Linked DNA regions of Sus scrofa. Each later gene encodes a partner of the first gene's protein in a complex. Links are inferred from orthologs where the notes say so. Each region holds a gene or a part of one and is shown on either strand. Other genes may lie near its edges. The genes, in order: DPM2, PIGH, DPM3, DPM1, PIGQ, PIGY and PIGC.

The links.
Region 2: DPM2 (region 1) and PIGH share a complex: the UniProt entries of both Homo sapiens proteins name them as parts of the glycosylphosphatidylinositol-N-acetylglucosaminyltransferase (GPI-GnT) complex. The link is inferred for Sus scrofa from reciprocal best matches to the Homo sapiens genes DPM2 and PIGH.
Region 3: DPM2 (region 1) and DPM3 share a complex: the UniProt entries of both Homo sapiens proteins name them as parts of the dolichol-phosphate mannose (DPM) synthase complex. The link is inferred for Sus scrofa from reciprocal best matches to the Homo sapiens genes DPM2 and DPM3.
Region 4: DPM2 (region 1) and DPM1 share a complex: the UniProt entries of both Homo sapiens proteins name them as parts of the dolichol-phosphate mannose (DPM) synthase complex. The link is inferred for Sus scrofa from reciprocal best matches to the Homo sapiens genes DPM2 and DPM1.
Region 5: DPM2 (region 1) and PIGQ share a complex: the UniProt entries of both Homo sapiens proteins name them as parts of the glycosylphosphatidylinositol-N-acetylglucosaminyltransferase (GPI-GnT) complex. The link is inferred for Sus scrofa from reciprocal best matches to the Homo sapiens genes DPM2 and PIGQ.
Region 6: DPM2 (region 1) and PIGY share a complex: the UniProt entries of both Homo sapiens proteins name them as parts of the glycosylphosphatidylinositol-N-acetylglucosaminyltransferase (GPI-GnT) complex. The link is inferred for Sus scrofa from reciprocal best matches to the Homo sapiens genes DPM2 and PIGY.
Region 7: DPM2 (region 1) and PIGC share a complex: the UniProt entries of both Homo sapiens proteins name them as parts of the glycosylphosphatidylinositol-N-acetylglucosaminyltransferase (GPI-GnT) complex. The link is inferred for Sus scrofa from reciprocal best matches to the Homo sapiens genes DPM2 and PIGC.

Annotation. Positions count from the first base shown.
Region 1 is NC_010443.5:268,420,245-268,425,071, reverse strand, and holds DPM2 (dolichol phosphate-mannose biosynthesis regulatory protein), read left to right. Parts: upstream 1-1,514; 5' UTR 1,515-1,562; coding exon 1,563-1,565; intron 1,566-1,858; coding exon 1,859-1,948; intron 1,949-3,219; coding exon 3,220-3,322; intron 3,323-4,096; coding exon 4,097-4,155; 3' UTR 4,156-4,799; downstream 4,800-4,827. UniProt on the Homo sapiens protein: Regulates the biosynthesis of dolichol phosphate-mannose. Regulatory subunit of the dolichol-phosphate mannose (DPM) synthase complex; essential for the ER localization and stable expression of DPM1.
Region 2 is NC_010449.5:91,306,196-91,310,303, forward strand, and holds part of PIGH (phosphatidylinositol N-acetylglucosaminyltransferase subunit H), read right to left. Parts: coding exon 4,071-4,108; intron 2,654-4,070; coding exon of another isoform or gene 2,642-2,653; exon of another isoform or gene 2,601-2,641; intron 1,666-2,600; coding exon 1,525-1,665; 3' UTR 1,476-1,524; coding exon of another isoform or gene 1,383-1,475; 3' UTR 1-1,382. UniProt on the Homo sapiens protein: Part of the glycosylphosphatidylinositol-N-acetylglucosaminyltransferase (GPI-GnT) complex that catalyzes the transfer of N-acetylglucosamine from UDP-N-acetylglucosamine to phosphatidylinositol and participates in the first step of GPI biosynthesis.
Region 3 is NC_010446.5:94,660,084-94,663,179, forward strand, and holds DPM3 (dolichol-phosphate mannosyltransferase subunit 3), read left to right. Parts: upstream 1-1,484; 5' UTR 1,485-1,607; exon of another isoform or gene 1,608-1,674; intron 1,675-1,784; 5' UTR 1,785-1,789; coding exon 1,790-2,068; 3' UTR 2,069-2,140; downstream 2,141-3,096. UniProt on the Homo sapiens protein: Stabilizer subunit of the dolichol-phosphate mannose (DPM) synthase complex; tethers catalytic subunit DPM1 to the endoplasmic reticulum.
Region 4 is NC_010459.5:52,370,349-52,374,456, forward strand, and holds part of DPM1 (dolichol-phosphate mannosyltransferase subunit 1), read right to left. Parts: intron 3,624-4,108; coding exon 3,524-3,623; intron 1-3,523. UniProt on the Homo sapiens protein: Transfers mannose from GDP-mannose to dolichol monophosphate to form dolichol phosphate mannose (Dol-P-Man) which is the mannosyl donor in pathways leading to N-glycosylation, glycosyl phosphatidylinositol membrane anchoring, and O-mannosylation of proteins; catalytic subunit of the dolichol-phosphate mannose (DPM) synthase complex.
Region 5 is NC_010445.4:41,173,054-41,177,654, reverse strand, and holds the start of PIGQ (phosphatidylinositol N-acetylglucosaminyltransferase subunit Q), read left to right. Parts: upstream 1-1,289; 5' UTR 1,290-1,331; coding exon 1,332-1,468; intron 1,469-4,119; coding exon 4,120-4,601. UniProt on the Homo sapiens protein: Part of the glycosylphosphatidylinositol-N-acetylglucosaminyltransferase (GPI-GnT) complex that catalyzes the transfer of N-acetylglucosamine from UDP-N-acetylglucosamine to phosphatidylinositol and participates in the first step of GPI biosynthesis.
Region 6 is NC_010450.4:130,525,779-130,530,685, forward strand, and holds PIGY (phosphatidylinositol N-acetylglucosaminyltransferase subunit Y), read left to right. Parts: upstream 1-1,792; 5' UTR 1,793-1,864; coding exon of another isoform or gene 1,865-2,067; intron 2,068-3,165; coding exon of another isoform or gene 3,166-3,307; 5' UTR 3,308-3,396; coding exon 3,397-3,612; 3' UTR 3,613-4,205; downstream 4,206-4,907. UniProt on the Homo sapiens protein: Part of the glycosylphosphatidylinositol-N-acetylglucosaminyltransferase (GPI-GnT) complex that catalyzes the transfer of N-acetylglucosamine from UDP-N-acetylglucosamine to phosphatidylinositol and participates in the first step of GPI biosynthesis.
Region 7 is NC_010451.4:114,824,303-114,827,572, forward strand, and holds PIGC (phosphatidylinositol N-acetylglucosaminyltransferase subunit C), read right to left. Parts: upstream 1,677-3,270; coding exon 783-1,676; downstream 1-782. UniProt on the Homo sapiens protein: Part of the glycosylphosphatidylinositol-N-acetylglucosaminyltransferase (GPI-GnT) complex that catalyzes the transfer of N-acetylglucosamine from UDP-N-acetylglucosamine to phosphatidylinositol and participates in the first step of GPI biosynthesis.

The DNA.
Region 1 (4,827 bases):
CTTTATTACAGGAAAGCAAACAGCTCCCAGGACAGCTGGGAAGGGCAAGAAGAGCCCCACTCTCTATTGGGGTTTTTATCCCTTAAAGATGGGGGGGGGGTAACCAACGTGAGGTCCAGAAAGCTGTGGTTTTCTCCCATTGGCCTTGCCCAGTTCAGTCCTTGTCCAATAGGGTCTTAGGGGTGGAAATGTCCCGTAAGTCCCATGGTGTCTTTGCCCTTCTCTTCCCGTAGCCTGAGTCAGGGGGCTTTGAGATTAATGTCCGTCTGGGCGTAGGTACACTCCCTGGAGGAAACAAGGCATGTGGGGATGTTACTCCCTGGAGCCCTTTAGCCGCAAATGTTAATCAATAGACATATCCAAGAATGCATCGAAGCCCAAGCTCCTAACACTGACTACCTGAGTGACTATTCTGCCTCAGTGCCCCCCCCCCCTGCCCCCAGAGTTGGAGACTTTAACTTTGGAGGCGGGGGGACAATGACCGACTGCTCTGACTGCTTCCTGCTGACAAGGGGTGTCCTTAGGGAAAGTGGTTAGGTCTCCACTCATGGCACGGTCGGTTGAGTGGGCTTCAATACATTACCTTGGGTACCCTTTCTTTCACTATCTGTAGGTTGATAGCTTTTAATCAGGACATAACAAAGCAAGACCTACAATTAATTATCTAGGGTCCAAATAAAAGGCTCAAGATCACAATGATGACTATGGTGAACAAATATTTCCATCAGGAGGAGGAGGAGGTCAACCCGTTCCAGAGGGCAGCTCTAAAAGCTGGATGGAGCTGGATCAGACATCTCACGAATCTGCTGCCGGAGATCTCGCAGGGAATCAGACACGTTCTGCGAATAATCAGGAATATAGGCACAACATTCAGATTTTATGACAGCACGGGTACCTCCTTGGCCTGCACTGAGTATGTCTAAGGCCATTCGGTTTTGCAGCACTACTTTTCTTATTTGTTTTTGTTCCATATTTAGGGTAGGAATAGCTTCTGCAGTATCATTAAGAGATTGTGGAGTAAAATTAGTTAAGGCTTCCACCCTCAGCATTATCCGGTGAACGTTTGTCTGCACCCTACCCTCAACAGAAGAGTTGGGGCCACCACACCAGGAAGTAGCGCCCTCGGGTTCTGGAGTCGGCTGCACCCTCTACTCGGATTGTGATCTTCAAGTGCTTGCCTCTTTCTGAGCCTCATTTTCCCCGTCTCAAATATGGGACTTTCGACCCCCCACCCCATCCCGCTCTGGCCTTGGGACTCGGATATTGAGATGGGGTTTTTTTCTGGGTCGAGTTCGACCCGACTGAGACCATAAATGCAGCCTATCTGGGTTCCCCACTGGGTCCCATTTCCCAGGGTGATTCGGAAACACGGCCCACAATACTCTTGAAAACTACATTTCCCGAAATGCAAAGGGGAGGCGGTGCCTGCCTGTCTTGGGCGACGTAGTCCTGGGACTGCCTAAAGACTACGACTCCCGACGGGCCCCGCGGCCCAAGGCCAGGAGGGCCCGGATGCGGAACCGGATGTGGCTTACGGCTCCGGTGCCTGGAGCGCTGGGGAAATGGTGAGCTTGGGGCTGGGAGTCCTGGGAATGAGGGCGTCTGGGTGTGGGGTCCTAGGTCTACTCAGAAGCTGAGGCTTGAGCTCTCGGGAGCCGGGATCACTCTCCCGCCGGCCCATCGTACGGGTGGTAGGTCTTTAGCCTGCACTCTGTCTCAAGCCAGGAAATGGAAACCTCGTCAGCCACGTCGGATACGCCTGCTGAGTGAATGGGCGTAATCAGGCGGCAACTCCCCCCTCCGTTAGTGCACCTAAATGGAGGGTCACTTCCTCAGTTGAGCTTTCCCTTTTCTCCAGGCCACAGGGACAGACCAGGTGGTGGGACTCGGCCTCGTCGCCGTTAGCCTGATCATCTTCACGTACTACACCACCTGGGTGATTCTGTTGGTATGTGTGCTTCCTCGTCCGCTCTCACCTCCTATCCCTAGATCTTGAAGCCAACTCCTAACATTTAAGCACGTGACAGGCCTACCTGCCCATGTAATGAAAGCGTCAGAGCAGCAGTAGGAGGACGACACTAGCGGTGTCCCCATTGTATAGATGACGAAGCCGAGGCTCAAGGAGAAGGTTCAGACCTAAGGTAGAATCCTGAACCACTACACTGTAAGGTCCTGTGCCTTTAATGGGAGTTCTAGTCCTTCTGGTTATCCTGCGGGCTCCTGGGCATGACAAGTGCCAATGGGTTTTGTGAGGGTCTTTGGGATATCCCCCCCCCCCCCGGTGGAAAAATGTGTTAAAATGTGCAGTGTGTTTGGGAATCAAAATCTTTTTTTTTTTTTTTTTTTTTTTGCCTTTCTAGGGCCGCTCCCGTGGCATGTGGAGGTTCCCAGGCTAGGGATCGAATCGGAGCTGTAGCTGCCGGCCTACACCAGAGCCATAGCAACGTGGGATCCAAGCGGCATCTGCAACCTATACCACAGCTCATGGCAACGCCGGATCCTTAACCCACTGAGCAAGGCCAAGGATGGAACCCACAACCTCATGGTTCCTCGTCGGATTCGTTAACCACTGAGCCACGACAGGAACTCTGGGAAGCAAAATCTTGCAGAACTTGATGTTCTTTGGGAGAAAAATCTTAGTAAAGAAAACTTTTGTGGAGTTCCCGTCATGGCGCAGTGGAAACGAATCCAACTAGGAACCATGAGGTTGCGGGTTCAGTCCCTGGCCTTGCTCAGTGGGTTAAGGATCCGGCATTGCCATGAGCAGTGGTGTAGGTTGCAGATGCGGCTCAAATCCCGCATTTCTGTGGCTGTAATGTAGGCTGGCAGCTGTAGCTGCGATTCCACCACTAGCCTGGGGACCTCCATATGCCGAGGGTGCAGCCCTAAAAAGCAAAACAAAAACAAAAACAAAAGATCTTGGAGCCCAGATTGGGATTCCTCATGTACCCTTTGCCCCTGCTAAGCTGTGGGGGACTTAAGCCAGGTCCCCAGCAGCAGCTTAGAGCAGGCACCAGGGAAGTACCTAGTATACCACTTGTAGAAAAATGAAGGAAGGGAACCAACCAAAGCACCCAAGATGCCATCATCTTAAAGAAAAGCAAATGCAGCCCCAGCGCTTTGACGGGGTCAGCCCCTGAGACAGAGGAGGTGGGATGTTTGGGCTTGGGGCGCTCAGCAGAGCCAGGCATGCTCACCGGAGCTCTGCCCTTGTGCCAGCCATTCATTGACAGTCAGCATGTCATCCACAAGTATTTCCTGCCCCGGGCCTATGCTGTTGCTATCCCGCTGGCCGCCGGCCTCCTGCTGCTCCTCTTTGTGGGTAAGTTCTCCCAACCCTGGGCGGGGTGTCTGAGGGACCCCATGACCCTCTCCTACACCTGAACATGCGGCTGTACTTTGGCCCCTGCGGTACACCTGCTGGAGGCTCCTTGCCCTCAGTTCACCCCCTGGGGTTTCCGTGTTCATCCCTCAGGGCTGCAGGCTTCTCGATCCTCAGGCTCACTGGACTCTAATGGGGTGTCTCCTTGTTTCCTGCTCCTTCCACCACCATCACCCCTCACCCCCTTGTCACTTTGGCCTCTGATTCCTGCACCCCTCTGACTCCCAGGGTTTAGTGTGTGGGCTTCCTAAGGCCAAAGACTGTATCTTCATCATTACTGTGTCCTCAGTGCCCAGCACATGCTGTGGCACTGAGTTGGTGCTCAAAAAAGTCATTTGAGTGAGTCAGCAATCAGGTGTCTGGATGATGGGGTAGGTGGATGGTAGGTGCTGAGTGGGCAGCTGGGGAGGTAGGTGGCCAGATGGTTGACTAGCTGAGTCGATGGATGGTTGGGTGGATCTTATTCCCTGTAAAATCGGAAACACAAATCCAGCAGGTGGCCTGTGGTCAGCCCTCGGCTGATGTTTGTTGAATGAATATAGGTGGGGGTGTGGCTTAGCGAGCCACTTGGGAGATGACCGGGGGAACCTGGAGGGTGGCTGGGTCGGTGCCTGGCCCCGCCTGCGGGTCCCTCTGTCATGCTCTGTCCTGCTCCGGCCTCCCAGCAGCCCTGAGCCAGGACCTTAACTGGCCTTTCTGGCCCGTGTGTTCCAGGAGTGTTCATCACCTCCGTGATGCTGAAGAGCCAGAAGGTGACCAAAAAGGCTCAGTGAGGGCCTGGCCGATATAAGGCTGCGGCCCTTTCCGTTTCTTCGCCAGGGCAGACCCAGGCGGGGGGCCCACAGGACCCATCCAGGCCCTGAGGCCCCCCTCAAGCCCAGCTGCCCTGAAGGCCCCCCCCGGCCCAAGGGGGACGGAGCTGTTCAGGACTCGCCCCCCAACTGCCCAGAGCCCCTCCCCTCCCCTCCTCCCCCTTCCAGAAGCCAGGAGGGAGGCGTCCCTGGAAGTCTCCCTCTCACCCCCTTCTGGCTCAGTGCCCGAAAGATGCAGCTCATCGCCCCTGCCCTCCGCCACCTTCGGACTCCCCGGCACTTTTCCCTGCGGGTCTACACTCTTGGCTCACTTCCCCACCTGTCACATGCTGGTGTTGGACTTGGCAGGTTCTGGGCCATCACAGGACCTCTCCCCACCAACCCTGCTCCTCCCCAAAGGCTGCTTTCCCAGGTCTGACATAGGCCCAGGCCCTGCGAGGATTTCTGGACCTGGAAAGCTTGGGGGGAGGCCTGACAGGCTGCCGGCACATTAGGGCGGCCACGGTAGGGCCCCCCATTGACTGCTTCTTGTGGAGGCCCAGCCCCCAGCCCCGTCTGTAGTGGGGGCGGGGGGGGGTACAACAATAAACGTTGACGGTGTGTTTGTCTCAGTGCCATCCTGACCGGGGGAGC
Region 2 (4,108 bases), on another chromosome or scaffold:
ACAAACGATATGGATTTAGCAGTAGCATCCAAGAACCAGGCCTTTAACCCCAACAAAGTGTGTGTGTGTTGCACACTGCAAGAACTGCAAGGCTGGAACTGGTTTACTGGAACACCTTAGTGGCTGTAAGCTTCTGCTCTCTCACTCTTTACATCAACAGGCATGACGAAAAAAGCAGCACATCAGAGTGTCGGCCTCTTTTAAACAAACTTGACTTTGCCAGGCTGGCAATTTTATAGCTGTCTCCCATTTCTGTTCCTGCCCTTCCCCCAGGATTTGGGATTTAGCTGAGACATTTCTACCTCAACAGGTGACATGTCCCATGTCCCCGCAGGCTCCTGAATAACCCTTCCAGGGCTGGTATAAAAGGCAGAAATTACAGCTCTAGTTTTGTAAGATCTTGAGTGGCTCTAAAGTAAATAAGAATATTATCACCTACCCAGGAATTTTTAAAAAAATCCCAAAGAAAAAGTAAGCAAGACTGGAGCTGTGTTCATACTGAATTTGGGGATCCAGCTATTCCCCCGCCCCATCTTCTTCCCAGCCCTTCAGGAATCCTGCCCTAATTCGTTAATTTTACACAGAAGAAACTGCCATGTAAACAGAGGCTTCTGTAGTCTGGCCTTTAACATATCTGGAAACCAGAGTCAAATTTCTGTCTGGCTTTTTGTCTCATCCCTCTTGGCAAAAGAAGTTTTTGAAACCATAGACAATGCTGAGTAACGAGAGTATTAATGTGCTTAACCCCCATGACTGAAATGCCATGATCAAGTCTGTCAATAAAAAGCAGCTGCCTGAACCAAGCAATTCCTTGTATGTTTTGGAAAGAGATCTGCTTATTAAGAGAATCATCATAAGCTAACCCTGTATGGGCGCTAGATGGGCAGAGGCTCATCTTTTGTAGGACATTTCCTCCTACCAACCAGTACCTGAAGGGCTTTTTTTTCCCTCCCTCTCAACTTTTATACAGGGGTACAGTGCAATTGGAAATTACCTTTCTCAAGAGATCTGATAATCGATTTCCCATTTTCTTGCTCCACAAATTGCAACAAAAAGTAAACTTGAATGTGCTCAGGAATTTCACAAAGTGCTCTTTGTCAGTGTTACTTCTGACGTATGGTTTCGAGGTCTCCCCTCAGTTGGTAAAGTACACAAAACCTGACAGGGGAAACCCTAAAACATACATAAATATTTTCCGCTGCATCGCACGGAAAATAAGTTAGATTTCCAGTCAGCTGCTCTATGGCTCTGGGATCCGCCGCATCCAGACTGGTTACTGGGCCTGCATCCACTTGATGGTTTAGAATCCGGAAAATAAACCAGTCGCTGTGGCTGAGGAGTCACCTCCCCTGGGAGATAATACTGATCACGAATGCTGGGACTCACGGGCTGGTTGACGTGGATTTCTGGTGTGCCAAGATCTCCTGGCAGCTCCTGTATACTTCAATCAAGCAGTCCAGCCGGGGCTTGGCACTCTGAATTCCAAGGGGGAGAAGTGCAGAGTCAGGATGAACGTCAGAGTGCTCAGGGCTGCTGCATCTGCAGTCTCTCACCCACGACAAGGGGGTCCAAACGGCACGGGTGTGGCCTCAGAGGCAGAAGTTCAGGCCTCACAGCACCTCGCTGGGAGGAGTCCCTTTGTAGGCCCACAGCCCAGCCTGTGAACTGCAGAGCAGGAGCTCAACAGTTTTATTTACTTTTTAAACTATTTTTTTAGGGCCGCACCCATGGCATATGGAGGTTCCCAGGCTACGGGTCGAACTGGAGCTACAGCTGCTGGTCTACACCACAGCCTCAGCAATGGGGGATCCGAGCCACATTTGCGACCTAGACCACAGCTCATGGCAATGCCGGATCCTTAACCCACTGAGCGAGGCCAGGCATCAAACCCTTGACCTCATGGTTCCTAGTCGGATTTGTTGCTGCTGCACCCCGAAGGGAACTCCAACAGTTTTAAATCTGTCTAAATTTCATGATCTCCATCTAAGAGCAAGCAAGAGGAATAACAAGGATGACCCTCACAGGAAGCGAAACAGTTCTCAGAGTCAAGAAGGGCAGTTTAATATGTAACTATTGAGGAGTTCCCTTGTGGTGCAGTGGGTTAAGGATCCAGTGCTATCACTGCTGTGGCACAGGTTCAATCCCTGGCCCAGGAAATTTCACATGCCACGAGTGCGACCAAAAAAAAAAAAAAGAGAAAAGTAAATATCAAAAATTATTTTACATAATAAAATGTAATACAAATTAAAAACCACAGAATGGGAAAAAAATACATGGAAAGCAAATTTAATAAAAGTTTGCTACCCCAAACATGTGAATCGTTACAACACATAATCAGTATCTAGATTCTACTTGACTAATAGAGGAGATGGACAGTTTAAAACAAGAAAATATAGATAATACAAGGAAATATGAAAAGTCTCTTTGCACTGACAGAGTTAGAAATACAGGAGTTCCTATTGTGGCTCAGCAGAAAAGAACCCAACTAGCATCCAAGAAGATGTGGGTTTGATCCCTGGCCCCACTCAGTGGGTTAAGGATCCAACATTGTGGTGAGCTTGCATCTGGCGTTGCTGTGGCTGTGGTGTAGGCTGGCAGCTGCGGCTCCGATTTGACCCCTAGCCTGGAACTTGGATATACCTCACCTGCGGCCCTTAAAAAAAAAAAAAAAAAGGATACAAATTTAATAACTCTAAATTCCTTTACCTACACACTAAACTAAAAAATAGCTAAACCCACTGTTAGTCAAGACTATAGAAAAGCAAGTACAAATTCCCAAAATACGGTAAAGGTGTCCAGTCTCTGGAGCCAACTCTCAAACACTGTCAAAAATCTTTGAAACTTCATAAGCTTTAGTAAAATAATTTTGAACTATAATGCAAAAGGCTTTTAGCTTAGCTGCCTTAAATCCTTTGTGAAAAAAGAAAGGTGGAGAGACAGTTTACTGCATACATAAATATTTTATATATCTATAAAATATTATAATCATGTTTGTATAAGTGTTTTTTTTTTTTTTGTAAGAAAAAACCTGGACATGATTTCAAAAGTGAACAAAAGAGTGACTAAATAAACTGATATTTGATATGATACAATTATTTAAAATAATCAGTATAATGGCCTCTGTGGCTGCATGAGAATACGCAGATTTGAAAAGGAACACACCAAACAGTGTAGAACAGTAGGTGTAGATCAGTAGCATCTCTGTAAAATCACATACTGCCTGACTGACAGAGACAAAGTGGCTGAATGACGATTTTTTTTTTTTTTTTTTTTTTGGCTTTTTAGGGCCGCACTGGCGGCATATGGTGGTTCCCAGGCCAGGGGTTGAATCAGAGCTACAGTACTGGCCTACACCACAGCCACAGCAACGCAGGATTGGGGCCCTGTCTGACCTACACAGCTCAAGGCAATGCTGGATCCTTAACCCATTGAGCGAAGCTGAGGATTGGACCCTCATCCTCATGGATACTAGTCGGATTCGTTTCTGCTGTGCCACAGTGGGAAATCCTGAATGATGAATTATAGGCAGAAGTTGCTTTAGGTTTATTTTTATCTCTAAAATTTGTATACATTTATAACATTTCTGAAAGCCTTTATTTGCCTCAGAAGGGAACTTTGTTTTTTTTTGTTTTGTTTTTTTTTTTGTCTTTTTGCCTTTTCTAGGGCCGCTTCTGCGGCATAAGGAGGTTCCCAGGCTAGGGGTCGAATCAGAGCTGTAGCCACTGGCCTATACCAGAGCCATAGCAACTCGGGATCCGAGCCTTGTCTGCAACCTACACCACAGATCACGGCAACACCAGATCCTTAACCCACTGAGCAAGGCCAGGGATCGAACTGCAACCTCATGGTTCTTAGTCAAATTCATTAACCACTGCGCCACGACGGGAACTCCTCCAGGAACTTCTGAAGTAACTAAAATCCTATTTCTCAGTAAAAACAGCCCTCAGGTATCCTCAGATATTCCTGACAACATAAGATTACTCCTGAACAGAAGGAGCAGTGGATCTACATCGAGGTGGGGGAGGGAGAGGATTGTCTTTGGGAAAGAAACTTAAGTGTTCTGTGCTCACCTGGAAGAGAGGTACTACTTGGGATATCCCCTGTGGGT
Region 3 (3,096 bases), on another chromosome or scaffold:
TCCATGTGGAACCTCAGTCGACTTCTCAGTCCCTGCACTTAACTCCTTCACTTACATCTGTGCTTACCTTGAACCTACTGAAACACTGCTTCATTTAAATATCACCTGAACGCAACCCTTTCCCCATAGCCTGCAATGACCTGGCTTTTTCCTTAGAAGCTCCACAGTCCCTCTGGTGTGTGCTCTCTCTTGCAGCAGCAAGTGAATAAACCTAACTGTTTGATTACAGTTATATTTCTAGTGGTCTTATCAGACAGGCTTTTATAATGCTTATTCTTTTCTTTTTCTTTTTTAAAATTTTATAGCTGCACCTGGGGCACAAGGAAGTTCCCGGGGCCAGGGATAAAATCTGAGCCCTAGCCACGACCTACTCTGCAACTGTGGCAACACAGGGTCCTTTTAACCCACTGCACCTGGCCAGGGATTGAACCTGTACCTCCACAGCCTGCCAAGCTGCTGCAGTAAGGTCCTTAACCCACAGCGCCTGGCAGTAATTCCATCTCTTTCCTTTCTTTTATAATTCTTTGTTTTCCCTTAATTTGATAATTGCCTGACATTTTGTCTTATTTGGTTTTCTATATAGCTATCATGAATTCGTCTGCCAAATTCTGAAAGATGTATACCCCTTCTCTTAATACCTTAAACACATCAGGTAACTCCTCTGTCCCCACGTTTTTTGTCCCTTAAAGACACCATGCCGGAGCACTTCTTCCTCTAGCTCCAAACCATACTGGTTGTTCCCTTGAGTTTCTCTTTTAAAATATGACAACCTTGGAGTTCCCGCTGTGGCACAACGGGATTGGCAGCCTTTTGGGAACAATGGGACATGGGTTCGATGCCCAGCAGGGCACAGTGGGTTAAGGATCCGGCACTGCAGCAGCTGCGGCTTACGTCACAACTAAGCCTCGGATCTGGACTGATCCTTGGCCAGGGAACTCCATATGCCATGGGGTGGGCAACAAAGGAGAAAAATATCAACAACCCTTGTTCTAACACCTATCTCAGGGCACAATGGCTAGCTGTTAATGCATCTGTTTTCCTGACTCTTGCTTTTCACTCTCCACCNCAGGAGAAGCTGAGTGTCTTGACATCTCCATTTCTCCAAAGTCTACTGTGATGATCAAGAAACATTCAAGTATGTATGATTGGGTCATTTTGCTTTACAGCAGAAGTTGACAGCACGTTGTAAATCAACTATACTCTAATAAACAAATTAAAAAATATATTCAAGTGAATGAACGAATAAAAGAATAAACGAATGAATGAATGGGATTTTTGTGCAGAAGTGAGTTTAAGAGGAACAATATTACATCCCCACCTTGTTGCAAGGCCTAAGGCATCCTCGGGTTGTCCACAAGCCTCACGCCAGTAGTGGAGCGGGATCCCGAGGGAGAGAAGCAGCTCCGAAGGCTCCCCAGATCCAGGCCGTGGCTACAGGTGCGGAGCCGACTGAGTTCAGCCTACGTCAAGACCGCAGCCCCGAGCTCGCCAGGCGCTGCTCGCCGACTACAACTCCCAAAAGGCACAGCGGCGGAAACGCGAGCCTTGGAGGATTCCCGACGCTGACGTCAGACCCGCGCGGAACAGGGGAGACGTGGGGCAGCGAGGTAAGTGTAGGTGGATGGAGGAGTCGGGAGCGCAAGAGCAATGGCAGGACGGGGGAGCGACTCTGAGGTTAGGTGCTATTCAGGGTGGGTGAGGGAGAAGGACAGGGACTGGGTCTCAGATGAAGAGCGGGTAGCGGGGTGGCAGGGATCTCGAGCTTTGCCTCCTCTTCCCCTCAGTGACCATGACGAAATTAGCGCAGTGGCTGTGGGGACTGGCGCTTCTAGGCTCCACCTGGGCGGCCCTGACCATGGGAGCCCTTGGCCTGGAGCTGCCCTCGTCTTGCCGGGAGGTGCTGTGGCCACTGCCCGCCTACTTGCTGGTGTCTGCTGGCTGCTATGCCCTGGGCACTGTGGGCTATCGCGTGGCCACTTTTCACGATTGCGAGGACGCCGCCCGTGAGCTGCAGAGCCAGATCCAGGAGGCCCGAGCCGACTTGGCCCGCAGGGGGATGCGCTTCTGACACCCTAACCGAATTCCCGCCTGGACAGCCTGCTCTCTCATTCTCCCATTAAAGAGCCAGTTTATTTTCTAACTTTGTTTGGTTTGAGTGTGGATGGTGGGAATTGGGGGTTCTGTATACCAGCTGTTAAGGGGTAAGAGGTAGAAGAGCCACCTTCCTGTGGTTTTCCCAGCCTTTGTCTTTGCATTCTGCTGGGCTTCCTCATTTTTGCTCCAAAGGAAACAAAGACCTCGTCTCAAAATCTCTCAAATGGAAAAGCCATTTCACTTTCCTGGTTCTTTTAGCCCTATTAGGAAATCCTTCTCTTTGTTTTTGTGTTTTTAGGGCCGCACGTGAGGCATATGGAGGTTCCCAGGCTAGGGGTCAAATCAGAGCTGTAGCTGCTGGCCTATACCACAGCCACGCCAGATCCGAGCCATGTCTACGAACAACACCACAGCTCACAGCAACGCCCAATCCTTAACCCACCAGGAATTGAACCTGCATCCTCGTGGATACTAGTCAGAATCGTTTCTGCTGAGCCATAAAGGGAACTCCAGGAAGTATTTCTTGAAGGCTTATTTCCATTCTTCATAAATTCAAGCTCTGTTCCTTTTTTTCTTTTCTTTTTTTGGCCATGCTGGTGGCATGTGAAAGTTCCCGGGCCAGGGACTGAACCCATGCACAGCAGCGACCCAAGCCACAGTTGTGACAATTCCAGATCCGTAACCTGTTGCACCACCAGAGTCCCCAAGCCCTGTTGTTTTTAAGGCCTTCCTAGGTCTTTCCAACCTCTTGCTTCTTTCAGATAACCTTTTCTGAGCCAACCCTACCAGCCCAAGAGCAAACGTGGCGGGGACATTGCACCTCTAACCTTTACCAAACCAGGCTGGTTGAGTATCCCTGAAGAGAGAATGAGCCTTGATGGGCAGGGGTAGGGAACAATTTATTTTAAGGCACATTCTAAAGATTTCATCCCCACCTCCAAAATTAAAAAATGAAATCTTGGGGGAAAACAAAACAAAAAGTGATTCATCTCCCAGTTCCAG
Region 4 (4,108 bases), on another chromosome or scaffold:
CATCAGAGGCAAATTCAGTTTTACTGGTAACATTTACACTTCACAACAAGAATATACTTGTTTATTTCTTATGTAATAAAAAGTTCAAATTGGGAGCTCCACAGGGGTGTAGTGGATTAAGGAGCTGGCAATGTTGCTGCTGTGGTGTGGGTTCGACCTCTGTCTCAGGAACTTCTGCATGGTGCAGGCTCAGCCAAAAAGAAGAAAAAAAAAAAGGTGGAAAATCAACAACAACAAAAACAAGATAACAGGGATGCTGTGGTGTAAATAAGTATTAAAAAAGCTCGAACTGTTACATTTAGTATGCTTTAGTCTGAGATCCCGAGGCCCAGCCTCTCCTTTTTTTGCCTCCTCGCATCGATTTGATCGCTTTTTCTCACGGCGGCAGGATGGCTTCGCAGAAGAGAAGCTGGGCATGTACAGAAAGTGTGTGTAAGGATGCCAGGTACATACTCTCTGAGGAATGCTTACCACGACTGCTTGGAAAATGCTGTGTGACACTATGACTTGTTAGACAAAAACTTAGTTGTAGAGATCTTTATTCTAGAAAATCTTGATGATATTTCAGAAAACGGTATCAATGTCCACTAGAGCCAAGGGTATTTAGAAGTGGACCTGTTTTTCGATCTCTCAAGGTTGAGAGAAAGAATAAAAAAAAAAAAAAACCCTGCTAAAAAAACACTAATAATACTCTGTTTTGTAAATCTTTATTTATCAGTGAGGCTCATTTTTTTTTTTTGTTTCCCATTTTTGGCCATATGAAGTTCTTGTTTTATGAATTATCTGTTTCTGTACATTTAATTGGGGTATTAATCTCTTTGTCAGAGATAATACTTTTGTTGAGGATGAACAGAAATTTTTTTTTTTTTTTTGGCCACAGCCATGGCACCCAGAAGTTTCTGTGGGATCAAACACATGTCATAGCAATAACCAGAGCCACAGCAGTGACAATGCCAGATCCTTAACCTGCTGAGAAGCCAGGGAAGTCCAACAGAATAGTTTTAAGTACTCAAATCTCTCAATCTTGTAGTTACGCTTGACATTTTAAAAATAATGAATGTGCGTTACATTTCACTATCAGAACAATTTTTAAAAATACTAAACTATACATAAATAATGAGAAAATACAGGTGATTATCTGATCTCTGCTTGGGGGTGAAACAAACCACACACATCAAACATACAAACCTACAAACCTCCCGTCTCCCTGCCCTGTGACCACTGCTAACAGTTTAGAATATGTGCCTCCAATTTTTCTATGGTCCCACTCCTACCATTTATCAGTTAGCCATGTAACCTTGGAAAGTGACTGAACCTCTAGTTTGTTTCCGACCTACAGAGTTAAAAACATATGTATCTTCCCTGTTGTTTGTTTTTCCCTGAAATACTCATTTCAGCCAGTTTGAAAGGGCTAGCTAACAAAGCATCTGTGCATATTTTATCTGAAGTATTGTAAGATGGTTCCTAATTTCTCTCCAACTTTTCTCCCAACTAAACATGTCACCTAAAAGGCAAGTAAGTGCCAACTCTCGCATAGCTTGTTACTGCCCCTCCAAAATAATGTTCTAGTTTAGCTGATCTAAAAGTGATAAAATAGGAATTACCATCGGGGTGCAGCGGAAACAAATCCGACTAGAAACCATGAGGTTGAGGGTTTGATCCCTGGCCTGCTTGGTGGGTTAAGGATCTGGCGTTGCCATGAGCTGTGACGTAGGTTGCAGAAGCGTGGCTTAGATTCTGCCTTGCTGTGGTGTAGGCTGGCACCTGTAGCTCCAATCAGACCCCTAGCCTGTGAACCTCCATATGCTGCAAGCGCAGCCCTAAAAAGCCAAAAAAAAAAAAAAAAAAAAAAAAAAGTGATAATGAATGAATAGGGAATTTCCCTGGTACTATCCAGAAATCATGACAGTGTATGCTATTTTTTTCCCTTTGTTTTCAATCTACCTTGAGGACCATGCTGTTTTAAGAATGTATGGTCAATTGAGCAGGCATTCTTTAAGATATATCAATCAACCACACCTCAAGGCTGAGGTTCTATGACAAAAGAACTCAAAATAGGTTGATGTTCCCTGATAAAATGGAAGTGCATAATGAGAGTATATCTATACGTAATAAATGTGAATGGGTGGCCTTGACCTAGAATTTATTTTAAAAAAAAAATCTGAGCAACTAGCCAAAAACTTGAACCCAGCATTATCTGAAGCCACCGTCGGAAGGATGAAGATCTAAGTTTTTATCTCCTCTGTGCACTTGTCTATCTGGAGCCATCCAGAGGGGCCTGGAGGGGACTGTAGTTCTGTGAACTGCTCATTTGTGAGACAGAAAGACCCTCTATTACAGGACAGATGGACTGTGTAACACATTTCCTTTAAACTCTTCCCACCAAGTAAGATCTCCTCCAACTGCATGGAAATTATTTCATTTTTGGGATTAATCAAGAATAACTGGACCCAGAAATAATTTGATGATGCTTAATTGCCATTTCCTGAAATGCACATGCCAATAAAGGTTCTCAAAGAGACTCTTTTTACACCTCTACTAATGGTTCTCTACTGGGAGGAGGGGACAATTTTGCCTGCAGAGGGTACTTGATGATCTCCAGAGATATTTTTGTTGCCACACTGGGGAGGGGGACTGCTACTCCATCTCCTCAGTAGAGCTCAGGGATGATGCTTACACCCTACAACATAGGGGACAGCACCCACAGAAAAGACCAATCAGGTCCCAGTGTCAGTAGTGCCAAGAGGGAGACATTCTAGTTTATACAAACTACAAAATACCCAATGCCTAGAATGTGTTTTCTAATTAAATTTGGATTTAATTTTAAGCTTTTGGCCCAAGAATTATCTGAAATTGAATTCACAAGTATGCTCCAACATTCATAAAGCCAAACCAGTGGCCAAAAATCAAAATTATGAACCCATTATAAAATGAAGTCTACATTTGCTTAAGTTACTCTTGTAGAAGAAAAACAGGCTTTCAGGTACAGTGGGAAACCCTAAAGTTTAAGACTCAGAAAGTCAATCTACTTCCACCAAACTGTTCTATATATAAAAGTAAAAATGCCAAAGTGCCCTGAAAAATCATTTGTTTTACATGAAAACAATCAGTGACCTTTCCCAGCTACAAGTTTTTATCTATAGCTTTTAGTTGCAGGCAGTATTCTCCACTGAAAGTGGAAGAGAGAAACAGCAAGAAAAATGAAGACATACATTACCAACTGCAACATGGCTCTACTGTCAACTCAGTACCATGCTTTAATTTTACCGCTCAAGAAAAGTGATTTGCAGAGTCAGACATAAAAACAGTTCACCCAAAGGCTCGTTATTTTGCTGTAAACTTACCACTGACTCCACAAATCAAAGAGACATAAAACTTCAAGCACAATAAAATGCATCTAAACCCCAAGCATGTAATTCGCTCTTTATCGTTTCAGTTTCTAGACAGACTGAATTTGAGCATTGTTCATTTGTCATTTTTTCTCATATATAAACACAACTGATATGATAAAAAAATGACTTACAATTTTGTCTGACCCATAGATCTTCACCAACTGTTCAGCAATGTCCCTTGTTCCATCTGGGCTTCCATCGTCTATGATTATAATCTCATAGTTGATGCCACTAAAACAAAAAAATTTAAATTTGTACAGTTTGGAGACAATATTCTTAAATTAAAGGATAATTTAAAAATCACTAATTCTTCCCTATATAAATAGAAACTTATTGCCATGTTAATCATCAAGGAAAACTTCAATTATCAATGAAGCAAATGTCAAATATTTAGTATGTCACCTCCAAACTCAGCATGTTGCTGGAAATGCTACTATACAGTCCTGAGATGTTAAAAATTTCTACAGAGAAAACGTACTCAAGTATGTACTCAAGTCAACTGAGTAGGTCTGGGTGATTACTTTTTAATTCAATCCCAAAGAGATTTAAGTTAACATTATCAGGAATAAAGCCGATTTAATTTCACCCTTTAAAAATCCACTTTAGAACAGTGACAATCTCTTACACCACCTTTTCAAATAGTTGTACCCATTACCCCAACTATAAAAAGAATGTCCAAAGATTTCAATGCACTTCAACATTAACATCTTTGTTGT
Region 5 (4,601 bases), on another chromosome or scaffold:
CTCGGCAGCCGGGATCACCTGCCTCCCAGCCCCCAGGGCCCAGGAGGCCTGCCCTTCGGGGCCAGCAGCTGAAGCCTGGGGATCTCTGGAGAGTTGGGCCAGCTGCCAGCCCTCCCCCAGGCAGGATCTCCCGCTGGCGCCGCAGCCCCTGCCTCCTAATCAGACAGAAGCCGGCGGGGAGGGTGTGGCTGGGCTGGGCTCATCAGGGCAGTCTGGGAAGGGGCGCGGCCCCTCACAGTCCCCCATTTTCAGAGGCGCCCCAGGTTCTGAGCCTCCTGCAGCTTCTCTGGCCTCAGCCGAGGTAAGGGGGGGCAGAAGAGGGGCTGCCCTGGAGGCGCCCTGGGCTGTCACGTGGCTGAGCTGTGAACCTCCAGGCTCCTGGGCGTCTTCTCCCACAGGAGGCTGTCTGAGCCGTCGTTTCCTCCTCCGCAAACGAGGCTGCAAGGGCATGGGGACAGTTCTTGTGAGGACAGACTCCTGCTGCTGAAAAACAGCAGGAACAGGAGGCCCGGAGGGGCGGGCAGGTGCGGGGTTACTCTGAGTCTGGGGCCCAGCCTTGCTCCCAGTTCCAGTGAGGGGGTCTTCAGGGGGAGGGGACAGTGCCTAGTCCTGCCCGGGCGGCTGGTGAGGGATGCTTCTGCCTCTCACAAGGACTGTGGTTTAGGGGTCTGTGGTTTGGGCCATTGCCTGACAAGGTCCCGCCTATATGTTCCGGCTCTGCGGAGGTGGCGGTGGGTTAGCGGGTCAGTGTGGAAAGTTCTGTTGCCGGTTCTCAGTAAACATTAGTTGCTGCTGCTGGTGTTGGGGGTATTTTTCCCTGGAGCAGGAGGGGCCATCAGATCGGATGGCTTCAGCCTCTGGGCTGGCCCTCCAAGCTCACGTGGCCCCTGCAGGAACCAGGATGCTGGGAGAGGGGAGCCGGGAGATCCCACCCAGGACTTGGGGTCCTTTCACCTGGATGGTGGGGGGCAAGGAGAGGGCGGGGATCCTCATTTGTCAGGTCTAATGGGTCCCCAGACGAGGAAACTCGGGATGGGAGAGAGGTTTGGTGGCTGCGGCAAGGTGGATGACTGGAAGGCAGGGGTGTTGGGGACACTGTGGGTAGGCTGGAGGTGGGACAAGGGCTTTGTGCACAGAGCGTGAGGAGGACCAAGGTGCGCGGCGTGGGTCGGGCAGACGGGGACGCTATGGCAACAAGGGAGTCATTCTGGCCACACTGGCTCGAGGGTCCGGAACGTTGCATGCGGGGAACGCTTGTGCGTGAGGCCGGCGGGCAGCCCGGGCACATTTGGGGACGGACCGTAGCGCGGCAACGCCGGGAGCGGGCGGAAATGGGGCTCCTGTCCCGCGGCACGGCCGCGGCGGGGCTGGGGGCCGTGAGCGCCGTCGTCCGCCCGGGCCCACCCGTCGTTGTCCCCAACCCCATCCCGACCCTGCCGCCCGAGGGGGCGGCCCCGGGGAGCAGCCGGTGAGCACTCAGGGGGCGGGCCAGCGTCCTGCGGCGCGACCTTGGGGAGCTGCCCCCGCCGGCCTGTGGTCCCGACTCCCGCCGCGCCGCCCGACAGACCCGGGAGCCCGAGGGTCTCCGGAGCCGCGCTGGCCTCCTGCTTCTCGGAGCTTCTGTTTCCTCATTTGTAAAATAGGGACGCTGCCGGCCAGGGCGGGCTTGAGACTTGGGAGGGCGGTGAGGCCCCGCCGGGTCCTCCTGGGGCCCGTCCGCCAAGCCCCGCGTTTGCGGCGGGGCGGCGTGGGTGCCCTGGCGAGGAATCTGGTCCCGGCCCTGTGGGGTGAAGGGAGGCCAGCCGGGTCCCTCTGGCCCAACCTGGTTCCCGCTGTGGACTCTTTGGAAGGGCATTCAGGGTCATTGGAACCGGCTGTCAGCACTTTACAGCTGTCCCTGACTGCAGTAAAGGGCAAAACCCAGAGCCCTAGATTCGTGTCTCTTCTTCTGAAATGAGAGAAGAAAAGCACTGTTTACTGAACGCTTGTTGTGTTCTAAACACAAACACATAGAGTAAGAACGGATCTTGTGAGCTCTTGAGGAGCGCGAGTCTCCACAGGGGAGGGCTAGAGACGTCCCTGGCTGGTTGTAACTGGGCTTTTGCCCTGGATCCACTCGCGCAGAGGTGGGAGGCCTTCAGCCTCATGAGGTAGGCTACTGAGTTGAGCTTGCCAGGCGCCGGGCATGCCCGCATTGGCCTTCCCCAACGGATCTGGAACGGGCCGGGTCCCAGAGGACAGACCGTCATTCTTAACAGAGGCAGCTTTCCCAGGCTTGTGCACAGTCTTTAAAGATGTTCGAGGCGCGGGGTTGCTGCCTGCTCCCTCCCGTCTGCACCTCTGCTATCGATTGCCTGCTCTTTCATCTTTTCCTGGCGGTCTGATCTGAGAGCCTTCTTTGTGCTGGTCCCGCCCAGAGGCTGAGGCGGGGTGGGGATGGAAGCTTGCCCCATGATTTAAGAGAAGAGCGCTCTCTCTGCCCCACGGACGGGAACACCACCCTTTGCTCTCTGCTCTTCCCTAGACAAGAGGAGCTTTTTTTGGGAAAAGTTTGTAGATGAAGCATAAAACACACAAAGAAAGTGCACCTACAGGTACAGCTCAATGAATTTTCTGAAAGTGAACTCAGTGTGTAGCCCACTTCCCCCAGAGCCCCTGCTCGCTCTTTTGCCCGTGGCCTGCAGCAGCTTGATGTGATCTCAGTTCCCAGGCCGGGAACAGAACCCAGGCCGCAGCAGTGAAAGCTCCAGGTCTTCACCGCTAGACCCCAGGGAACTCCCTCCCACCAGTTGTGTTCAGTTTCTGACATCGGCTACGGGCAGTTTTCCTTAGGTCCTGTGAAAGGAGTCCCAGGCAGGGTGTGATGCTGTCATTTGGCTGAGCTGGTGTGTCCGATGGGCTGGTGCTGAGAGGCTTGGACCAGGCTGGCTGGTCCCCCAGGTGGTCACCCAACCAGATGTGCCAGGACCCTAAGGCAGAACGGCTCTGTCCTCACAGTGCCCCTCAGAAGGGTCAGGAAGGCCAGCTGGTCCTTGCTGATGGCCACAGAGACTTTCTCCTGGAGACACTCGCGTGGCTGGCCCTCTCTGGTCTCTGGGCAGAGGGGCATTTGGAAGCCTGGCTGCTGGTTGACTCAGGGGACCCTTTCCATTCAGAACCCACAGGTGGGAGAGGCCTCCCCCTTCAGCTGTGCCCTGACTACCTGGCGGGAGGAAAGCAGCTGCACCTGTTGCCCCTCCCAGACTGCTCTAACCCTCAGGAAAGGCATGTCCTCAACATGTGTGTCCTACTCTGTCCCCTGTTCCCCAAGGCTAGTTGGAGGTCCTGTAAGGCTGGGAAGGCTGGCGTCCCCTCTGCTGTTCCCCTGGTGGGAGAACTTCTAGACCCCTCCTTGGTCAGGGGAGTGGGTCCTAGAGGAGGGCGGGGCTCCAGGGAGGGGGGGCAGAGCTGAGTGCTGGAGGCTCCAGTGGTCTGGTGGTCGTAGAGAAAACCCTAGGCAGCTGGCCTGTGCCCTGGGCGCTGAGGCTCCCCGGGGGAGGGTGCGGGCTCCCTGGGGCATCAGGCCTGCCCCCAGGCATCTTCTGGGCCCGCCTGTGCCAGAGCCAGCTGCCAGTGCCGGTGCCCTGCCTCATTTCCTTCAGCTCAGCAGCCATTTAATTTTTCGTCTTTGTTCTCGCTAACTTAGAAAATCAAGGTTTGTTAGATTTTTAATTTACATTAGTTGTTCATGAGATCGTACGTTTTTCTATGTGTATGCAAAGAACTGTCATCAGGTCCTTAAAAACAAAAATTGCACCCTTGTGCCCAGCTCTGTGCAGTGCCCCCCCCCAGCTTGCTCGGCTCTGAAGGGGGACGTGTGCCCCTGCCTCAGGGTGGGGTGGGAGCAGCCTGGGCCGAAGACGGACAGCCGGGCCTCCCCACCAGCCTTGTGACCAGACCCAAAGCTGGGTCACCCCGACCTGTGGGCCCAGCGGCCAGTGGATGTGTCTGTCAGGGCCGACTGGGCCACATGTGGGCCAGGGCCCACAGGTCGGGCGCTGCCAGCCAGCCCGTGGTGCTTGCGGCACAGTGGCGGCGGCGGCGGCAGCTCTGAGCGGAGCCCTCCCCCCTCTCTTCCAGCGTCCCCAGCATGGTACTCAAGGCCTTCTTCCCCACGTGCTGCGCCTCGGCGGACAGCGGCCTCCTGGTTGGACGGTGGGTCCCTGAGCAGAGCAGTGCCGTGGTCCTGGCCGTGGTGCACTTTCCCTTCATCCCCATCCAAGTCAAGGAGCTTCTGGCGCAGGTGCAGCAGGCCGGTCGGGTGGGCCTGGCCGTGCTGGGCACCTGGTGCCACCGCCGGCAGGAGCCGGAGGAGAGCCTGGGCCACTTCCTGGAGGGCCTGGGCGCGATCTTCTCCCACGAGCCCTGGCTCCAGCTGTGCCGGGAGCCGGGCAGCAAGCTCTGGAGCTGTAAGGCCACCCGCTGGCAGGCACCCCCCGGCCCTGCCGCCCCCGGCGAGGACCAGATCATGCTCATCTTCTACGACCAGCGCAAGGTGCTGCTGTCCCAGCTGCACCCTCCCGCCGTGCTGCTGGACCGCCAGGCCGGAGACGCCCCGGCCA
Region 6 (4,907 bases), on another chromosome or scaffold:
TCCCTGACAGCTGCCTCAGGCTGAAATCTTTTGCACATTAGTGAACAAAGAGCATCCAATGATGTAGTAGATTTTTTAAAGTAGAGTGAACAGACAACACAAATTGCCTCTGCTTTTGCACTGCTGAGTGGAAGAGAAATTTGGACATACAATCTTGTATGTGTATCTATATATCCCTCAACTCCTATCCCCACCTCCCAGGAGCTCAAAGTGTGAAGTGGTAAAGCCCCAACGATGCAAGAAAAGATTCAATATTTAGCGAGACAACGAGAAAATTTGGACGTTCCCCTCGTGGCTCAGCAGGTTACGAACTCAACTAGTATCTATAAGGATGCGGGTTTGATCCCTGACCTCGCTCAATGGGTTAAGATCTGGCTTTCCTGTGGCTCTGGTGTACGCTGGCAGCTGCAGCTCGTATTTGAGCTCTATCTAGCTTGGGAACTTTCATGTGCTGCAGGTGCGGCCCTAAAAGGACAAAAAAAGGGGGTGGATTTTGATGACTAACCAAGAATCTTCTAGTATACTGGGCTGCAAAGAATAGAGAAAATAAAAATGACAACATATGCCATTAACTGAGCATTCATTTGCCACAGGCATTTTTCTAAATACTCTTTGCATTCATTAGCACATTTTAAGCCCCAGGATGGAATTATATGAGGTAGGAACAATAATTAATCTAATTACACAGATAAGAAAGCTGGGGAGGGAGTTCCCGTCGTGGTGCAGTGGTTAACGAATCCGACTAGGAACCATGAGGTTGCGGGTTTGGTCCCTGCCCTTGCTCAGTGGGTCAAGGTTCCGGCGTTGCCGTGAGCTGTGGTGTAGGTTGCAGACGCGGCTCGGATCCCGCGTGGCTGTGGCTCTGGCGTAGGCCGGCGGCTACAGCTCCGATTCGACCTCTAGCCCGGGAACCTCCATATGCCGCGGGAGCGGCCCAAGAAATGGCAAAAAGACAAAAAAAAAAAAAAAAAAAAAAAAAAGAAAAAGAAAAGAAAGCTGGGGAGTTAGGAGATTTGCGGGAGCCCTACAACTAGTAAACGATGCACCTGGGACCAAGGTGTCAGGCCCGGACCCCCGGCACTTACCTCCTACACTATAAGAAAGAGATCAAATCCGCATCATTTTCTGGGAGAGTCAGAAGCAAATGCGGGGCGAGAAAAAAACCACTGTGTGGATCACCCACTTAATTAAAGGACACAGTTACTTAGACTCCTTGCGGTTTCCAAGCTCATTTACAGAAGCAAATGAGTGGTGCTATTATTATGCCATTGAGCCCAGGGTAAGAAACTGGGCATCTTAAGTTTAAGAGGACTAAGCCATTCTTTTCCCGTTCTTATATTTTTTTTAATGAAAGGAGAAAAAAAAAAAGCCAAACAAGGTTATAGGAAGTGTGGTACTGCAAAGACTGACAGATACACATAAAACAAGTAATGCTTTTTAACATACCCAGTGTGACAGTGTGTTGGAAACCTCCTTTTGGTGATAACCACGGAGGTCCAAGTCTATCACTGTGTGACTCTGAGGTCCGGCCACTGGCTTCCTGGAGGCCCTGCGACAGGCCCTGGTGAAAACTCAGGACGCCTCCACTTGAGCGTGGGTTTTGTCTGCAACCTGCAAACGGGCAGGAAGAGCCGCAGAAAGCCCAGGCTGCAGGCGGGGCTCTCCATACCGAGCGGTGCCGCGGGAAAAGCAGTCGGGTCCCGAGCGCCCTCGGAACCAAAGAGCGGGCCTCCAGCCGTCGGGGGCAGCGTTTCCCGAGCACCGGGGGGCGGGGCCTGGCCGCCTGGGCGGGACTCCCCGGGATCGGCTGGAGCGGCCGGAGCGGCCCAGGGGGTGCGGAGGTCCGCGCGCCGGCGGCCAGACCATGCTGAGCGGAGCGCGCGGTCGGCTCGCCTTAGCGCTGCGAGGGACACGCGCGCCGCCGTCCGCGGTCGCCAGGAGGTGCCTGCACGCTTCGGGCTCGCGGCCGTCCGCGGACGAGAACAAGAAGGAGGGGAAACCGCCACGCGCCTTCGACCCGGCGCTGCTGGAGTTCTTGGTGTGCCCGCTGTCCAAGAAGCCGCTCAGGTAAGATTCGTCCGCTGCGGCTTTTCCCTGGTGGCCCCCTGTCGCCGGGGAGACGTTCAGGTCACCCGGGTGTTCTTCGCTGCCATGTTTTGGACCCGGGCCCGCCAGCTTCCCGGGTACTCGCTCCGCCGCGGGAAGGGCGGGAGGAGGCCCCAGCCGAGCCCCAGGCCTCCCGGACCAAACCGGCCACTCGCAGGCCTGGATCCTGGCGGGCAGCTTCTCCGCCGGCAGCGTTTTAGAATCTCGGGGGAATCCTTCTTAAAACGCAGATCTCTAGGCAACGCCCCACCCGGGCTCAATCCGAAGGCCTTGGGGCCGAGCCAGAGCAACTGCGTATTTTCTTGAAAGGATCCCAAGTGATCTTCCTGTACAGCCAGGGTTATGAACTCGGGATTCGGAAGACTAATCCATGGCATTCAGATTTTTAAGGCAAGGCGATGAAAAATGTGATAGCTTCCAGATTGTTGCGAAAACGCCGGGTAGGATCTTAAGCGCATCAGCTACGTGTGCGGCCCTTTGGTTTTTAGTTCTCGACCAGCCGGTTCTGTAAAGGCCTTCTTAACCTTTCACCTAGACTCTTTAGGATAAACATCTCTGCAGTTGCAGGCTGCTAAACCTGAACGTGGACAATACTAGCAAACACCGCAGTGTCATCAGTGGCTGCCTTTGGGTGGTAGATTGCTGCTTCCGTGGTTTCCTTCTCATGGATCAGTGAGGCAGGTGTTCTGATAAGCGAAGAAGCTGAATTTTCCTCTCGTGTCTGTTCCAGTAGTAAATTAGCTGGGATCGTTTGAGGGTTTAAAAGAGTCATGAAGGAATATTTGGATGAAAAGGAGAGATCTTTTCTTTTTTTTTTTCCACTAAGGCATAGCTTAAGAATAACGTGAAAAAGAAAATGAGAGAAACAGACTAAAATGGGAACAATTAGAGATTCCTTTTCTAAGAGAAATGGTTGAATTGGCTACTGCTGCTTTTAGAATGAAAAACAGTCTAATTCTGCTTTTCTGGCTCTAACTGTGTGAAGAATTGGATAAATGTTACTGTTTATTGAACCTCAGACTCTTCCGGGATTCATTTTGGTTTTCTTCTGCCCCTCAGATATGAACCATCGACAAATGAATTGATTAATGAAGAGCTGGGAATAGCCTATCCGATTATTGACGGGATTCCTAATATGATACCACAGGCAGCTAGGATGACACATCAAAATAAGAAGCAAGAAGAAATGAAGCAGCACTAGGTCATACGTAAACACAACACAAGGAAATTTTCTAAACACCATCCACCTTCGAAGAAGCCAGCGTGGCGGGTGGTGGGTGGGAGAGAAGAATGTTTCTGTCTCTTCCCACGCTGACTGTCCTTGTCCCCCTGGTCTCTCTGGGAGGACTGCTGTACTCCGCCTCCGTGGAAGAGAGCTTCCCCCAGGGCTGCACCAGCACAGCCAGCCTGTGCTTCTACAGTCTGCTCCTGCCCATCACCATCCCCGTTTACGTGTTCTTCCACCTCTGGACTTGGATGGGTATTAAACTCTTCCGGCATAATTAACGCAGCCGGAGCCACGATGGTATTTAAACTCATGATATGCTTGAGTGAGTGTGTCCGAAAGCTCCGCCACATGGAAATACTGGAAACCCAGACTTTGCAGGAAAGAGGCTTTGCTTATTAGCCTTTGTCAGAGGTTTAGGACTATGTGACGTTTAAGCTGCAAGAGGCTTCTTTCTTGTATTTTGGTTCTTCCCCTGCTTTTTGAAGGTTCTGATTTATACCTGGTCTCTCGGAAGAAACATTTCAACAAAGTGGCTTGTTGGAAATTAGCACCCCCACAGCCATCATCTGATGGCTTGTTCTTATCCCATTCATAATTAAAAATTACTAATTCGAAATTGTAGGTTTGTTTTTAGGTTCAAAGCCTTTGGTAAAGCCACATGTGAAGGATGACTGAGATAATTCCAAGGAGCTATGGGGAGTAATTGTAGAGAAATGCATTTGGACTAGTGTGATATAAAACTATAATAAAATGTAAATTTCATGTACTTGCCAAAATTCTGAGTTGGTAAAATTGCCTTCATTTCTTTGGCATCAGATGGCTTACATTATTAATAAGATATTGACATTTTCCATAAAACAATTTGCAGTTTTGTGTTTGGTTTTTTTTTTTTTTTCCTTTTGGTCACAAGAATATAATTCAAAGACAAGGAAATTATATGTTTAGAGAGGCACCCAAAATAGAACAGAATTTCCCAGGAAAGTATGTGCTGTGAGGAGAGGTGGAATTGAAAGACTGGCAAATAGCTGATTGTGTCCTGTTGAGTTTAGTTAGGGCGATTATTGAGCCACATTTCAGTTTATTTTTCTGCCATAAGAGACCTATTTATTTAGCAATACTAAGGGCATGAGCATTTGACACATTAATAGTTATTGATTTTCCAGAATTTTCAATAAGACTGATTAGTACAATAACTGTTTCAGAAGTATAACAAATGTTTCAGTATTTACCCTCATGAAGCCTAAGAACTCAATGTAACCTTAACTGATTCTTAATAGAATTTTAAAGTAGTGTAAAAGAAGCTTTAGACAGTGATTCTTCCCCTTAAAAAGAAAATTTAAAACATGAGGTTAGGCATTCCCGTCGTCGTTGTTGTGGCTCAGTGGTTAATGAATCCAACTAGAAACTGGGGGGTTGTGGGTTTGATCTCTGGCCTCTCTCGGTGGGTTAAGGATCTGGTGTTGCGATGAGCTGTGGCGTAGGTCGCAGATGCAGAGCAGATCTGGCATTGCTCTGACTCTGGCTCTGGCTGGTGGCTACAGCTCCAATTAGACCCCTAGCCTGGGAAGTTACA
Region 7 (3,270 bases), on another chromosome or scaffold:
TGCTTCTAGAACTGAGTAGAAACTCTAGTCAGTTAGGTGACCAATTCTGTGATCTGAGGCAACAAAACTGGATATAGCATCCAGGGTCCTAGGATTTGAGCTGGAGATAAATAACAGAGCCTGCATTTAGTACACAGAAAAAGGCAGACAGAAGTGACTTTACATGCACACATATTTTTTTTCTCTCTCTCTTTTAGTGCCGCACTCATGGCATATGGAGGTTTCTAGGCTAGGAATCCAATTGGAGCTGTAGCCGCTGGCCTACACCACAGCCACAGCAATGCCAGATCCGAGCCTCATCTGTGACCTATACCACAGCTCATGGCAACGCCAGATTCTTAACCCACTGAGCAAGGCCAGGGGTCGAATCTGCGTCCTCATGGATATTAGTCAGATTCGTTTCCACTGAGCCACGACAGGAAATCCACACACATATTCTTTGTGTCCCTTTTGTCTGTCTTCTGCTTACAGAAAAATTGTGAGACAACTTGATGGATGTGTTGTTAATTTTTTTAATAGATAGAAACCACATCACTTCATTTGTTACATTGAATGAGAGGCAATAATTGAAGAGGGCCCCACAAAGCTTTTCCCGCCACAAAATAACAGAAAGGATAAGCACCTTCACCACCCAAGCCTTTGGTTAACTTTTTCTTTTGATTTCTGATCTCCCACCCACATCAGCATGCTGCTTCCAGAATGGAATTCTGCCTTCGAATCTTATACTAGTTGGAGGGCTAGTCTATCAGTTTGTCTTAGTAACAGAATGGAAGTCACCAAACTCAGCTGAGGAACCTGGACAAGTCTTCTTTGATTTCAGCCTCATCCCAAGGCCCATGAATGTTCTCTTTAAACAGCTGCAAGCGAATGAGGTAGAAAGGACAGAGACATGAGATGGAAACCAGCAGAAGGGCAAAGAGTATGGCTCCCACAACACTAATGGACAGGAGGCCTCCCAAGGCTGAAAATGCAAAAAGCAGTGTGACTCCCACATAACTGCAGGGAGTACATGCCTTCAGTTTTTTCTGTAACATGGGCCACAGGGCAAAAATCTGGATGGCAAATGTCACCATGATGAAGGCATGTAGGGACCGGGGCAGGCGTGAGGCAAGGCAGACAGAAGCAAAGATGGCCATGTTCAAGGACAGTGTGCTGGATACAATGGCAGCATTGGCACCATAGTCAAAGAAGATGAGGTGGCCCAATAGCATGAAGACTGACATGGCATAGATGGTGTCAGTGCTGACAGACTCTGTCAGGGTCTTCAGCACCGGTGAAAAGCCGTATGTGAAAGTAATGAAAACTAGGGCACTCTTCAAGTCAGCCCACCGGGTCCGCCCACTCTTCTTCCGTCCTTCACCTCCATCAATGAGATCAAACAAAACATAGCCAATCAATGAAGAGGCCAGGCCAGTCCCGAAAAGCCAGTGGGGTGCCAGAAGACCCTCATCCATATACCACCAGATAACCACAAAAACACAGACACTGCATAGCTGCTGGATCACCACACTGGACTCAAATACTACAGCCCAATACTGGTATTTCCGGGCATAGATGTTTTTCCGGAGCTCTTCCAGGAACCTTCGGTCCACATAGTTATCAGGAAAGGGCTGTCGCTCATACAAGACCTTCTGCCACTTGGCCTCTTTGGTGTTAGTTACAGGCTGTGAACACATTATCCTTTTGCTCAAACTCAGGCTAGTTCAATCTCCGTTGTAGAAGTCCATGTGGTTCTTGTTCTTTATAAAGTTTTGAAATAAGACCTCTCTGGAAATTTCATGTTGAATGTGGTTGATATGGTACCAACCTTCCCTTGCTTTCAAAGGCAGAACCCAGGCTAGACCTTTAGTAGATGAGTTTGTTCTCTGAGGCAGGACAATATAGCCAAGTTCCTAGAAAAAGAGAGACTGTGAATCTATGAATGTTGTGAAAGGTCAAGGGTAGGACTGAGTTAAAATCAAACCAACTTATTGGGTTATCATAAGCTTATTAGAAGTCTGAACAAAATATATATGGTGGCCATCATGTAACTGAGGACATTAAAATTTCATTTCAGATTTTACATTATAATCCCTTAGCAGCTACCATTTGTCAAGAGTGCATACTATGTACTAAGAGCCTTACGTAGCTTCTTTCATTTAATCTCCACAATCCTGGAGATTAACCCAACTAATAAAGCAGCAATTCAAAGTGCTTAGGTAACTTTAGCCCAAGTTAACAGTGGTAATTAGTGGAGCCAGATTCAAAGGAAACTTCTTTCCCAAAGGCTTCACATGTCTCCCTCTAAACTAGTTCTTAACTCAGGGGTTCACATATCCCTGAGGTCTATGGATGGGCTTCAGACCCTTCAACAACCCTCCCAGTCAATGCATATTTGTAGTTGTAATTTATGCAGATTTCTAAGGCTAGGATCCAAAGCTTTTACTGGGTTCTCAGAGGCATCTATTACTGAAAAAAGTTACCGGTCTAAAAACAAAAACCTCATAATAATAAAGGTACAAGCTCTAAGGTTTATTTAACTAAAGCCAAGGACTGGAGATTCTTAATCCCTTGACCGAGTTTAGCAGCCTTAAAAAGAGTTATCATTCTACTTATTTAACGCGAAACTCTAGGAAGGATCGGAGATAATGATCTCCTTTCCACTACTGCAAAACTAAGAGTCAGAAATACCAAGATCATCCAGCAGGTCTGCGAAGAAAATTCTTATGGCCCGACCTTACGTCTTCCATGGAGACCATGATAGGTTTTGCTTCACAAACCAGACGCCCTGGGAGGCTCCCTCACCGCAGCAGGGACCCCAGCCCCGGCATCTCACGGCCGCCGCAGGGGGCTGGAGGGTCCCAGGCGCTGAAAAGGGCAACGCCCGCCCGCTGGGTCGGGGACAGGGCTGGGGAGGGGGTGGGGAAGGGGAGGGTGTCCCCGAGGGTGTACCCCGCCCGCCGCCACCCCTCACCCAGCCTCGGCCCTGCGGGGGATGGCGGAGGAGGCCCGGAAATACTGACTCCCACTCGGAACCCACCTGCCCGCGAGTTCCTAGGGGTGCGCGGCCGGGCGAGGGCGGCCGCCCGCCTCCTTCCCCATCCGGGGCGCCGGGGTCGCGCCGGCGGCCGAGCACTTCCGGGGCCGCCACAACCTCTGCGGCCAGAGCGTCCTTCCTCTGCCCGCGCGGCCTTGAGGTCACTGCTGCCCCCTCCTGGCCGCGCAAGGGAACTCCCGGCTCCTCTCCCTAGAAGAATGGGTGATGCCTGGAAAGCAAATCCTGGACATGGA